Linked DNA regions of Drosophila melanogaster. The protein of the gene in region 1 interacts with the protein of each later gene in a biochemical or structural test. Each region holds a gene or a part of one and is shown on either strand. Other genes may lie near its edges.

Region 1 (8,942 bases):
GACCCATTTCTTTTGAGAGCCCTTTTGGAATAGCATATTTGTGCCACTTCCCGGTATAAACAAAACCCGAAACAAAGAGTAGGAAAACGAGAAGAGCAAAAAATAATATTGCAAGCGAAACAATTGCCATCATTTCATAACGAAAAAAAAAACAGCTCGTATGCCATTCTACAACGGTGGAAAACCAAAACATCTCAGACACAAAGGAAAATTAAAGCAAAGTCAAAACGAGACGGCGAAACCACGAAAATTGTGTAATAATTGCGACACTTTCCTGGGTTACAACCCATGAACAACTGGAGGCAATTTGAGGCCAAAAGCGCTGAGAAAGAAGCTCAACTCGCAGCCCGTTAGCGAATCGTTCAGTTTTGTGTGGATGAGCATTTCATCGGAATCCAATGGACATTGTTGGCCAGATTGGCATTGTTCAGCCAGAACCGATCTCCTATGAGCCCAAAAACCAGTTGCGTTCGCCATTCCGGCCAGTTCCTTGACCATCTTCCGATATCAATATCAAGTTCAACCAGTCAAGGCGGGCTGCTCACGTGATCCAGGAGCCCGGGAACCGGGTCCGCGAGGATGGAGGCACAGGGACGCGCTAACGGTGCGACAGGTTCAGGTTCGTATTCGGCATCGCGATTGTGCAGCGCGGGGGCTACAAAAGTCAACAGTGCACTGATCAAAAATTTACTAACTTTATTCAATAAGTTTAAAAAGAAGTTTAATCAGAAGTCAACATAAAAAGGGGGTAAGCTGATGTGATGGTAAATAGGTGACCCCAATCAAGTGCAAAGGTGACCCAGACATATGTGAATATACATAATAAAAAGTATCTATATATTATTACCCACATTCTGAAGATGATAATGGAAATTGAATATCATCTCGATAGACACTCCATATTATTCCCGATTTAAGTAGCTGCCTTTCCCTAACTGTAGCGACTGCACGGATTTAGAAGCCATCCGCTGGGCAACCAGTTGAACTTGTTTTAGCCACAGATTTTGCAGCTGCCAGTAGCCACTACCAAATGGGTTCAGAGTGATGAGTCACTCGGGCTAAATGGTCCAACTTGGCCCATCCGAATAGCCCAAAAAAAAACAAAAAAAAAAAAATGTGGGGGGAAAATTGGTCGAAAAGCAATTACACTTGCAACAATAGAAGTTGCAGCTGTAAAATTTATGGCCCGAACGTCACAGGAACAAGAGTTTGCTTCGCTTAACCGAAAGCGGGAAACGCAACGGTGACGGGGCCAGAGTTCACTGTACCGTAAAGCGTTGGCAAGCAAAACGCTGAGCATGCGCAAAAGTCACAACCGAAACAAGTTTTTCGTAGCGTTTTGTTTTTCAATCTTTCTCTGTTATTTTTGCCATCCCTGTCCGATTTTGTTTTTAATTTTTTTTTTCGTATTTTAGTTTAGTTTAAAGTTTTTCATATGCCCCACAAATGCCGAGTCGAGTGCTTTCAGTTGCAGTGCGGGTTCAACGACTTGGAATTGTTAAAAAAAAAAGATGAAGCGTAGAGAAGGGGGATTATGTAAGGCGAAGAAATGACTGTCGATAGTTAAACGTCGAGCAAGTGGAACCAATTAATGCGGACCAGTCAAAAGAAATCCGAAAAAGCCGGAAAACTACCGACAATTGAAAAGCGTTTTTTTTTTTTCCTGTGAGCCAAACGGCAATTAACGCTGCTCGTTTCCTACAATTCGGAGATGCAATTAAAATGCAAATGCTAACCGCTGGCTATCCCACATCCAGACCCAGACCCAGATCCGAATCCCATTTCCATTCCCATTGCCATTGCCATTAACCAAGTCATTTTACAGACGTTGATGGATTTGTGTGACGACCCTATAACTCATTTTCCACGACACATGTTCACAGATTTTCCATATGGTGTGGACCTGCAAGTCGTTACTTTGCACTTGGCGGATATGTGAGCATGGGGGAAAAAAGCATGGATCACTTCGTTTATTTTGGGTCACATTGGGGGCTTTGTGTTAGCCAGCCTTTGTTTTTTTGGGCGGCCTGTGTGTGGTGTTCCCAAATATGTGTTATCGTTTCACACTTAATCTTATCTCAGTTCCCCAGCACAATTACCCGTTTGACGCTAGGCAGAAAAATAAATAGCAGGTAAATATAATTCAGTTTCGTTGTAATGAGAATAATATAACCAAATTTATTGGCCACACAACTAGCAAATTGCAGAAAGTCGAGCCTCTTTCCCATCGAAAACTATAGCTATGCAAATCTATTTTCAGTCCCTTTGTTTTAAATGATTGTTTAACGATTGAAAAGTTATAAATAGACTGACAGTCATTAATCAAACGAAAGTAAAATTTTTTGACAAAAAAGTTGCAGATTATGGGATTATGGATTATGAATTTAAATGTTACTGTAACTATAAAAATGGTCGTATCATTATCATCATACATGATTCACATTAGTTAAGTGGTTGAAGTTTAAGCTTGAAATAATTTATTTATTTAGTGTTTAAAAATGAGTGCTATCTTATCATATTTACAACTGTATTCCGAATATATAGTTTGAATCACCGTTGATATATTTTTGAACAGGAAACTGAAACGGAACTTTCATTGCATATATTGATCCAATATTTTATAAGCACGTGTTGCGTTGGACAAACCAAAAAAAACTAATGTACATGAATAAAACAAGAGGGGCATGTACATAAAAAATCCATCAACGATGCCACGATAGAAGCAAAATACAACTGGAATTATGCTAATCGACTATCAAAACAAAAGCTGCAATTAAACCACACACTCTGGCTGACTTTCACTGCGAATCTTTGAACAATCGTCGGCCGTTTCAGTGTTTCTCTTTTTGTATTATATGCAAATTGGTCTAACGCATCTCGAGCCCAACTGCTGGCCACTCCAAAAAGATTGGTTTGCCTCCATTCGAGAAACTTTGGGCTACATATCTGTATAACCCGTCGAAGGTTCCATATAATTCATATAGGCAGCTGTCGGCGCTGACAATGGACGGCAATGGAGATCAGGATTGTGATCCTGCGATCCTGTCAGCTGTGTGGCGCGTGTTGGGAATTGCTTGCCACCCGGCGAGGGGGAGGTCACGTCGGTTTGAAAGGGGGTTGAACGGGGCTTGAGTGACAGCCAGCACAGGGACAACAACAGGACTTCCTCCAGTGCACCGCAAAGGATCTCGAATTATATGGAATTATATGCGCGACACCCTTGTGCGAATATTAGGTGAAATGATACAGTGATACCTCAATAAATCCATCAAATATTTATTATAAAGTAAAATGTCTTGGTTAAAGGGAAATGCAAATAGGTAAGTTAGTTTTAGCACCCATATAAACATTCTTGTTTGTTTCTAGCCACCGATTCCCGTGAACAAGGACAACATTCCTCACCCCCCCAGAGAAATATAGATACCCTGGCCACATGAAAGGGTATCGACGAACCCGTTTAATTGGCTTTAAAGTGTTCAGAATAGGTTGGGCACGTCTGCAAACATGGACACGCATGCGCAGGAGCGGCGTCCACATCCCTGCTCCTCCAGCTCCTACTCTGCCCCTATTTTCCACATAAATAAACGAAATGTGCCTCGAATGGGAAATCAGACGGCCAGTCAGTCGATCGGGGAGAACGACACTTGTGTCCCTGGTTGACAGGGAAGGGAGGGGGGTGTGGCTCCAAGAAATGTTTGCTCATTTCCGCACTCAATTAAAATGGTCGGGACACAAAACTATCTTTGAGTTTGCTTTAAAAACACAACAACAACAACTGTGAACTGACGACGTTGACATGGGCCCCTGTCTATAAATAGAATTATGTACATACACACACATATGGACACATGGAATAGGGTGCATGGTTGTGGGTGCGGGATGTGGATGAGGATGCGTGGTAGGAGGACAGCTGTGGGAATTGCAGGAATGGTGGTGACATTTGCTGTTGCGACTGCGCACTCCTTTTGTTCGATTTACGGTCACGTTTTCTGTTTGAACCTCCTGTTCTATAGAGAACTAATAATATTGGAGGGCAAACAAAACAAATATGAGTCATGGTTAGAATAAGTTTACCAAAGCCAGAAAAGAGCTAAATTCTATGTAACTACTTGGTATAGAAATTAATAAAATGTAATGATTAATTGTACTTTGGTTTAGTTTATGTGCAAAAAACGATTCCCAGTTGAAAGTACTCATATGTAGGGTGCAGTCACTTCCGCGATTGCTAATCGATTTCTTGTTTGCAACACTGGCATATTGTACATAGGTAACCAATTTTCGTGGACAAGAATGTGCCAATGTCAGGCGGAAAGGCGAAAAGCGCAAGTCAACAGAAAGCAAAAGGCAGCAAATCCGCCTTCACAGGTGACCACCACTCGCTGTCAGGCGGTTATCCCCTTACCCCTATTCCTCCAGAGAGATATTGGCCACTTACCTTAAGACGGCTGGAAATCTGTACGTGCGTAAGTTACTGGCAAATGGGGATTATGTTTCCGGGGACGCACACGAACACATTGATGAAGGCGCAATCCACTTGGAATCGATCTCCTGCGTGGATTTTGTTTGGTTCGAATTTAGAACTTGCAATTTATAGCCACGATACACTATTTCCAAAAGTTTGTAACACTTGAAGTATTTTCAGCTGGGTGTTGTGTTTGTTTGCCTCGGTTTTAACAGTTTAGATTTAAGATTCAAGCGGCGATCGGAAGGCGACCAGCACGAGCGTCTCGAATCGCGTACCGTCGCGTTGGAGAGTCGAGTCGAACTGAAATCAAATCCACAACAATCCACTTTTGGATTTTCGACTTCGAAAAGCAACGGCACCGAAACAACAACAAGCACGCGCAAAACAGCTGACCGCTAGAGGTGCCACCACCGCTGCCGATAGTTAGGGCGCAAAATCTGCCCTGCAGTGTGACCAGAGATTAGTTTTGGCGCTAATTTTAAATATGCGTTACTTTTCAAATCCATAATGGTTAGATGGGTTTTTAAGATACTCATTTTCGTAGATGCAGTAGTTTTTACTTATCCTATTTGTGTAGCCAGTTCTAAACTTAAAGCTTGGAATATGGTAATTTAAGATGCACCGCATATCAGTATATATAAACAGTATACTCTTCAAAAAGATTCACCGCTGATCGTGCTGTTTTTAAGTTTAATTATGAAAGATGCAAACGAAAATGGCCAAGTTTGAATGGAATGGGTTAAGAATGCGGTGTTATCGAGTGGTTCACTCTTCTGCAACACCTGCATCACGACTGGTCCACAGTCGCAGTGGTTTATCCGTCAGAATGTTGGATAGTGTTGTACTCAGTTCTCAGTACTATACTATAATTATTTCAGCAAAGCAAGAAGATTTGGCAACTTTTCAAAATATAGATTTCGATGGCTGCACAACGGTGCGTTCTCATATTCTTGTTCCCTATATATTTTAAGTTTAGTGACGTGGAGCAGGACAATTGGTTCCCACATACCGCCCGTACTCTTTGTAAAAGTTCCAAGAGGGGTTGTTTAATGAATAAAAAGTGAGGTGACTAATTATTTTCCTGTCCTTAACTTTACCAGCTACCACCACCACCTGGATGCATTCTGGGGATCAAATATTCCGCCAGCCTTTGTTGCAAATATTTAGATAAATAACACTAGCGAATGAACGAGAAACGAGTGTGAAATAGGAGCCATTGTATCGTACGATTTTCCGTCTTTGATTTTTCGCTCTCATAATGGGTCAGCGCCCCGCTTATTAATTGAGCTCAATCAGGAGCGTCTTTATTAATTGTCGCAGGGGTATATTGTGTTTTACTAACTATAGTAAGTTATAAGTTATAAGTAAGTATGGTTGAACCCTTCTAACTTTGTAATACTAGATTTCAAAGTTGAAGTTACTTGGTGTACTTGCTTAACTATAAGATATAATTTTCTAATGAAACTAAGTTCTTTTAGCTGATGAAAACTGGTATCTCAACGAACAAGAATGGGTATCTCTTAGTCGCTAGACTCAACTGCGACCATTTCTTTGTATTTTTGCAATACCCGCTTAATTGTCTGTCTGTCGCAGCGCAGCTCAATTGGAAGTGAAAGAGAGCGCGTAGGTCTGAGTGATCGTGATCGCCTGATTGACAAACGACTGCCATCGGATGAGGCATTCGAGTTTCCACTTACCTGGCTTACCTGGCTGCAAGCGGCTGTGCAAATGGAAATTGGTAGAGGCTTTCCCCGTAAGTGGCCGGGGATCGGTGTAATTTGCTACCAAAAACGACTAGGGGTGGCTCCGTACCATGTTAGTCATATCTCCACCTTCTCCTCGTCCGCCTGAAGTGGTTGTATCTGGGTATTGCTATCTTGGTATTAGAGACCCGCTCTCCCGATTCCATATCGATTCCACTGAGAGTGCGCATGCAGCCGGCGTTTGTTTGCCGTTCTTCTTTTCGCATATAACATAAACAGTCGGATATATCCGAGCACCAGAGAGGGTCGGATATATAGCCGCCTTTGCTGTTGTCCCTGTCGGTTGGCATGAGCTATTGTTTTTGGCTTCGGTTTGGTCTTGGTTTGGTTTGGATAGTCAGTTCGGTTTCGTTGGCCTGAGGTGACGCATCTAGATAGCGGGTTGCCGGTTTCTTTCGCGAAGTGCCCTTGTTTTTCCACCGCGGTTTCACTTCCTCTCCCTGGCCAACATATTTGGGCAACACGTGTTGGCCGATAATTGCCGGAACCGAGACGGAGAATTCTCGCTCTCCCTCTCTCTAGGGAGCAAAGTACACGTCACAACGGAGCAGAGAGTCCACTCTATTTCTCGGAAACTTGCGAGTGCGTCGACATCACGAGATTGTGCCAAAAAAGCATAGCGTTTCCGATTTGGTGTTTTATTATACCGGCGCCACTCGACGAAGTCAGTTGCGCGAACGGAATCTAATATTTAGATTCGTGGACTCTGGACAAAAGTGTTGAGTGTGCAGTTTAGCCATGGGCTACGATGAGGCCATCATCCATCTGGGTGATTTTGGACGCTATCAGAAGATCATCTACTTTCTCATCTGCCTAACATCCATACCAGTTGCCTTCCACAAGCTGGCCGGGGTGTTCCTGCTGGCCAAACCGGACTTCCGGTGCGCCCTGCCCTTCGAGAATGGAAGTAGCTACGACTTGCCCACCCACCTGTGGAACCTATCGTATCCGGAGAATGAAAGGTGCTCCTACTACGATGTGGATTACACGGAGGAGTACCTGAATGGCAGCATTCCACGGAGCAGCAACGAAACCAAGACCTGTTCCAGCTACGTTTACGATCGGAGCAAGTACCTCAATAGTGCGGTGACCGAGTGGAACCTGGTTTGTGGCAGGGATTTCATGGCAGCTACCAGTGATTCGCTCTTCATGCTGGGCGTGCTTCTGGGCAGCATTGTGTTTGGTCAACTGAGCGATAAGTACGGAAGAAAACCCATCCTCTTCGCCTCACTGGTCATCCAGGTGCTGTTCGGTGTTCTGGCTGGAGTGGCTCCGGAATATTTCACCTACACGTTCGCCAGGCTGATGGTGGGAGCCACCACTTCCGGAGTTTTCCTCGTGGCCTATGTGGTGGCCATGGAAATGGTGGGTCCGGACAAGCGCCTTTACGCCGGCATCTTCGTCATGATGTTCTTCTCCGTGGGATTCATGCTGACGGCGGTCTTCGCCTACTTTGTCCACGACTGGCGCTGGCTGCAGATTGCTCTAACGCTTCCCGGACTAATTTTCATGTTCTACTACTGGATCATTCCGGAATCCGCCCGCTGGCTGCTCTTGAAGGGACGTAAGGATTGCGCCATTGCCAACATGCAGAAGGCGGCGCGATTCAACAAGGTGGAGATCAGCGATGAGGCTTTGAGTGAGCTGCTCGATGAGGGAGAAAACTCGGAGGAGAAGGCCAAGCAGAAGCTGGAGGATCAGGAGCTGGATGAGGGACCACCGCCCTCCGTGTGGGATCTCTTCTGCTACCCCAATCTCCGGCGCAAGACGCTGCTTATCTTCCTGGACTGGCTGGTGACCAGCGGCGTGTATTATGGTCTCTCATGGAACACCAGCAACCTGGGTGGCAATGTGCTGCTGAACTTCGTCATCTCGGGAGCCGTGGAGATCCCGGCCTATATATTCCTGCTGCTGACCTTGAACCGCTGGGGCCGGCGATCGATCCTGTGTGGCTGCCTGGTGATGGCCGGTCTCAGTCTCCTGGCCACGGTCATCATTCCGCAGCGAATGCACACCCTCATAGTCGCGTGCGCCATGCTTGGCAAGCTGGCCATCACGGCGTCGTATGGAACCGTTTACATATTCTCCGCCGAGCAGTTCCCAACCGTGGTTAGAAATGTGGCCCTGGGCGCCGCCTCTATGGTGGCCCGGATCAGTGGCATGATGGCACCGTTCCTCAACTTCTTGGCCACCATCTGGAAGCCACTGCCGTTGCTCATCTGCGGATCCCTGACCTTGGTAGCCGGATTGCTCTCCCTCCTGCTGCCGGAGACGCACAATAAGCCCATGCTGGAGACCATCGCGGATGGCGAGCGCTTTGGCAAGAAGACCAAGGCAGATGTCTACCTGGAAACGGGCCAAGAACTGAGAGCACCAGAGGCGCAGCCACTCAAGGGATCAGGCGAGACAAATGGATCAACCATAGCCAATGGCCACAAGTAATAGTTAGACGCTGGTGTTGAACTTTAAAGTTTCAAGAAATTACAGACAGGGCATCTAGAATTCGGTCACGCCAAAGGCAGGGCATTTACCTTTAAAACATAGACCAAGTATTATATACAAATTTTGAAATCTCACACGTAACCAAAAAAAAAAAAAGACCATGCAAAAAAAATTAAGATTGAAAAGCAATGGGTAGCAACAAATAGATCATAACTCTTTTAGCATTTAGCCGGGCAGTGAGGAGCGGTCTTATAAAGAGGGTTACGAATTCC
Region 2 (5,740 bases), 1.5 Mb from region 1:
TGAAGTTGTGGTTCCAAAACTGGCATAAAGGGATTTGCACATGAAAACCCTTTGCATGTGTGTCCTGTCCCACTACAGAAATGCAAATTATCCAAATCCCCCAAAGGTCTGTTGCCATTTCGATTGCGGCTCGGCTGTTGCTATATCGTCCTGTTTATGCCTGATTAAAGTCAAACAACAAACATATTCTGAGCTGCATTTACCAGACAATCGTATAAACATATACACATGTGGTCATCAGAATAGAATTTATTAGTTGGGAGATCTACAAATCTGCCAATTATTTTAAGCAAATTGTTTTTACTCTCCTTTAACGCAAACAACTTTTATTTATTTAGTTAGTAGCCCTAATTAATATATTACCTGCTAAGTAATACTTGGAACTATTGTTTTCCATACAAATATATAATCCCGCATCTCTGGCCCGAAAAGTCCTCTCTAATCTATGCAGAGAAATGCTTGACAGTGCCTTGTTGTGTGGCTCAACTTTGGCCCCAATCCTAAATCCTTTGTGTCCTTCGTGGCCAGGATTTGCTTCTCATTACCAAGAAGCCCCCATTGTTCGCTCCACTGGGAGGAGCACGTGTGAGAAAGGTTGATGGCCAGGGACATGGGTTTGTGCAGTTTGGTTCTCGCCTTCTCCGCTCCCAAATTATGCAAATTGCTCGAAATTTTGCATTGGATAATTTCCCTATTTGCCCGTAATGCTCAATAAAAAAAAAAAAAATACAAACACAAAAAACATTTTATGACCCAAGAGACCAACGATGGCAGCAAATGGCTGAGCAGAAAAAATACTGAACAGTTGTATAAATGCACCAACAAAAATAAAAATAATATAAAAACAGAACAAACTGCGACGCATTTAATTAAAAATGTAATTACCCATGCTTTTCAACAGCCACATTGCTCGAAGCGGTAGCCAGAGGCTATGAAAACATTATTCGGAAAATTGTTGCAAATTTAATTGTTAAATCCTGCTATATTTTACTGCGGTGTTACTGCATCACGGAGCAGTTGTAGTTTTTTCCATTTCACAAATTTATCTTACTGAAAATGAGTTTAAGAACCATGTCAGAAAAGAGCGTGGGGCAACTAACAAAAAAAAAATTTTAAAAAACTAACTAGTAATCTTTTGTTGTCAATGCCTTGAATTTTCCACAATTTCAGTCTAAATGGAAAACTGTCAATGAAAAGACAATATTTAAACACAACTATTTTCGAAAAACTAAATTTTAAAATTCATCTTTTCGGGAAATCCAAATTTTAGCCCAAGGTATACTTACAATTTGCCATGGATGACTTTGATTTCAGTAGTCCACCTCCGGAGGTACGAACAGTTCATACCCACACGCTGAATGATGAACAGCTCAAGGATTGTGAGGCGGCCTTCGCCCTCTTCGACGACGATAATGCCAAGGTCATTCCGATCAAGTTATTGAGAGATTGCCTGCGAGCCGTGGCCCACAACCCGCCGGAAAACGAGATACAGGATTATATAACCGAAATTGATACGGATGGATCCGGCGAGCTTTATCTCAGTGATTTCCTATACATCATGTCGAAACGGTACGAGAATTTGACCGTCGAAGATGAAGTTATCCTCGCTTTCAAAGTCTTCGACAAAGATGGATCTGGCTTTATACACGAGAATGAGTTCCGTCAGATAATGACTGAATATGGCGATGAAATGGAAGAGGACGAGATCGAGGAAATGATACGTGATGCCGACGCCAACACGGAACTGAAAATCGACTACGTTCGCTTTGTGACCATGATGATGGAGACGTAACACTCTCTTTGAAAAATAAAAAACATAACCGATTGTAGATCTAATCAATAAATTTCAAAAGCATGGCCAATGGAATCGAAGATCTTGAAATATCGGATACCACCAGTTTGGACTATTCTTTAAAAAAAAAAAAAAGCCAATATACAATAGATAAAATGATAACAAGAGTAGGCTTTTCTTGTTATTAAATTATAAATATGAAGTTGTGAACTAAAGTTTGTCGAAAATTTGTAGTGAGTGTTCAGTGACCCCAAAATTTTCCCACCCCCAACCCCTTCCTTTGGCCATGGATTTCGAATTCCTTACTCCGCCGCCAGAGGAACGGACCATTCGCACCCACAATCTGACCGAAGAACAGGTCAAGGATTTGGAGATTGCCTTTTCCCTGTTTGACGACCAAGACACTAAGGTTATTCCTATAACAAATCTCAGGCAACTAATGCTGTCTGTGGCCCACTATCCCAGTGATATGGAATTGCAGGAAATTCAGGCCGAGATCGATGCTGATGGATCCGGTGAGTTATATCTCAGCGATTTCCTTCACATCATGTCTCAGAGGTACGCAAACATGTCTACCGAGGATGAAATTATAGCTGCATTCAGAGTCTTTGACAAAGAAGGAACCGGCTTAATATCTGAATCGGAATTTCGTCACATAATGCAGAACATGGGGGAGCAATTGACGGATGATGAGGTGGAGGAGATCATCCGTGATGCAAATTCTGATTTGGAAGGCAATATAGACTATGTGCGATTTGTCAGAATGATGTCCACTACATAAGGAAAAAGCAGGCTTTAGGGGTTGGGAACCCGACCTGTCAGTATCAGTATCATCAAAACAGTTTCGGCTCATTCCCTTTCGTAAATTCCAACAGTCTATAGCTCTGCAAGCATTTAAAAATATCTCGATAAATACCGAAAATCTTTGAAAATTTATCAAGATGTCCGAACTAACGGAGGAGCAGATTGCCGAGTTCAAGGATGCCTTTGTCCAGTTCGACAAGGAGGGAACCGGCAAGATCGCCACCCGTGAGCTGGGCACATTGATGCGCACCTTGGGCCAGAATCCAACGGAGGCCGAGTTGCAAGATTTGATAGCTGAGGCCGAGAACAACAACAATGGCCAACTGAACTTCACTGAGTTCTGCGGTATAATGGCCAAGCAAATGCGGGAAACTGACACTGAGGAGGAAATGCGTGAGGCATTCAAGATTTTTGATCGTGATGGCGATGGCTTTATATCACCAGCTGAGCTTCGCTTTGTGATGATCAATCTGGGCGAAAAGGTCACCGACGAGGAGATCGATGAGATGATTCGCGAGGCTGATTTTGATGGGGATGGCATGATCAACTACGAGGAATTCGTATGGATGATAAGCCAGAAGTAGTACAGCTACTTTAAATGAAATAAAAATATTTGGGGTCACTGCATAAAAAAAATCGTGTATTTCTCTTCAAAAAATACAATTTACACTTCTCTGCGGTCTAACTATTTTCGAACACTTTTTAATACGCCCCCAATTATTTCAATTATATTTTTGCGGTGTGCTAGTTTTTCCTTTGCCTAATTCGGAGACCGAGAATTTTTCAAGCATGTCCTGCTCTTAAAAATGTTTGATGAAGGCACCCCATTTCGGTAATTGTGGTTGGTTTAAGGAATTTTCGCCTCGCCTTCTTCAGGTGAAAACTTTCAGCATGAAACACTCGACGTGGTTTTAGTCCGCCTTTTCGTTTCCCTGGCAAGTGGTTTTTGCTTCCACATGCGGCACCTTTGTGGCCAGACGAACAATTTTCCTGTTGCTTAAATTCAATTTGCTTATGCATTAAAATTAAATTTTACTGTGGCCTCAGCGGGCCCGGCTCGTACTCCTTGCTGGAAGCAACCTCTTGGGGTCTTTGGGGCTTGTGTCTGACTTTATAAATATTTCGTGTGTGTTGTGTACGCGCATGTATGAATTTTCAATTTTTTGAACAAGTTTCGGTTTCAGTTCAGACATGTCAAAATGTCAACTTGCTTAATTGAGAGTCCGCAAAACATCGAGCATCGCATCGCATTGCATCGCATTGCATCGAATCGAATCGAATCGAGACCTTAACTTCAATGTGCATTCGCATGGAATAAGAACAAAAGCCCAAGCAGATTCCAATTTCAGATCTGACATCAATAAGCACTTACAGTGGCATAAATATTATATATACTCGAGAGCTGGCAAATATATATGTCTATATGCGGTTCAAACACCAGAACGACATCGGCACTTCGCCACCTCGCCGCATAGACGAGTTGGTTTTCAGCTTCAGTTTTCAGTTAGCAGCAGGCACAGGACATGTTCGATGGACTGGCTGCAGAGGAAATTGAATTTGTGGGCAGGACCTCCCTCCCTAGACGGTTCATCCGATGGTGTCGGCGACGGGGCAGTGGGCTCTGCAATATCGAAGAAGGATATTTGAGTGGCAAGTAAATCAGAAATAAGAAAGAAAACACATCGTATACAAGGGAGCTCTCTTTGAGTTTGATCTATGTGTTTTTCGCAAAGACCAGACATTCAGAAAATTGATGTGTTTGTTTTCATTCTCCAGCCTTTAAGACATCATATTTCTCACAGAAACTATGCCTTCGGTTTTTTATGAGGCTATTTCAACTCCGTTTTGGTTGATCCATACACTTGGAAACACTGATATTGACTTTACTTTGAGACAAACTCGTTATTGCGATATTCATAGTTCGTAAGATTAATGCATTTAATGCATTACATATGCATATGCATACATATTCTAATATTTTTATCTTGCACACAATTTTTTTTTAAGTGTATGGCAAAAAGAAAGCATTCTGCTGGCATGCATATGAATTTCTTCTAGGATACTTTTTTTATGCGGTTTGCCGCCCACGTTCCGCACTTGGAGTGTCATTTTTGAGTGGAGTCGGTATGTGCGTAGGATGGGGCAGTGGGTATTGGTATGGAACACTTCCGCACAGGCACTTGAATACGCAAAAAGGCGAATGCAAGTGACGAGGTCCATGAACAAGGCCGAGAGTGTGTCCTGGCCGAAATACGGACTTTTGCGCCAGGGGACGACTTTGGTAAACAACCGCACTCTGGTCAAATTTGGACTGTGGTCCTGGCCACATATATACACAGTTTAAGCAGTTAAAGTTATCTGTTATCTCTAATTGAGAGAGAAATGTGTGTGCGTGTGTGGGGGCTCAAATTTAAAGTTGTTGATTTTATTACGCATACGCCTAGTGGCTCTAGCCATGGCCTCTTATGTTGGCCGTAACAAACTTGCCCGCTTAATGGCGCAGCTTTTTCGGGTCCTCAATCAAATGGTAGGAAATGTCGGGGCTTTCGTCATGGGAAGCCGGCAAAAACCCTTTTCGGATTAACAGATCAACGCACAAATGACCCGAGCAATCGTCTTGGGTTTTCCCAGTTTTTTCCTTCTTGATTTTCCCTGCCATTCCGATAAGGCTGGAAGCTTATCGGGGCTGAAGGACTTTGACGACCCAATTAATTCTTGTTCAACAACCGGCCGAAAAAAAAAATTGTTGCCACATGCATTGTTAGTCTACTTTTCATGTCAAGGAAAAGCGACGGCTGAGAAAAAAAAAACTAAGTGAATAAGGTACAAAAGAAAATAAAAATGAGAAACTCGTGAACGTTAAGTTAAATTGCGCGGAAAAGTTATGCGTCCCCGTTACCCAGAGTTTCTCTAACAAAAAAACTTTGTTAAACATTTTATTCCCTAGAACGCTTGCCACGTTGGCTTAGCGGAACTACTTGAAATGTAAAAATGTTCGAGCCTTGAGTTGAAAAGGCAAACTTGGCAGCAACTTTGAAGGTTCACATAATTATGCGCATTGCCTTGCCACGGCTCCTGTGCCACATCCTTCTCTATCACCTGCTCATGATCTCGTCCAGCCTTGCAGCCTGCTACCAACGTCAT

Evidence for each region.
Region 2: the proteins of jar (region 1) and Acam form a complex in vitro, tested with the Drosophila melanogaster proteins (2 studies listed by BioGRID).

The regions. Positions count from the first base shown.
Region 1 is NT_033777.3:24,266,464-24,275,405, forward strand, and holds the start of jar (jaguar), read right to left. Parts: upstream 4,771-8,942; 5' UTR 4,436-4,770; intron 1-4,435. Other genes in the region: Orct2 (organic cation transporter 2), read left to right, coding at 6,967-8,670. UniProt on the Drosophila melanogaster protein: Myosin is a protein that binds to actin and has ATPase activity that is activated by actin. Together CLIP-190 and jar may coordinate the interaction between the actin and microtubule cytoskeleton.
Region 2 is NT_033777.3:25,809,911-25,815,650, forward strand, and holds Acam (androcam), read left to right. Parts: upstream 1-2,000; 5' UTR 2,001-2,078; coding exon of another isoform or gene 2,079-2,573; 5' UTR 2,574-2,733; coding exon 2,734-3,180; 3' UTR 3,181-3,224; downstream 3,225-5,740. Other genes in the region: CG5024 (uncharacterized protein), read left to right, coding at 1,295-1,792; CG17770 (uncharacterized protein), read left to right, coding at 2,079-2,573; CG14354 (uncharacterized protein), read left to right, coding at 5,648-5,740. UniProt on the Drosophila melanogaster protein: May be involved in calcium-mediated signal transduction.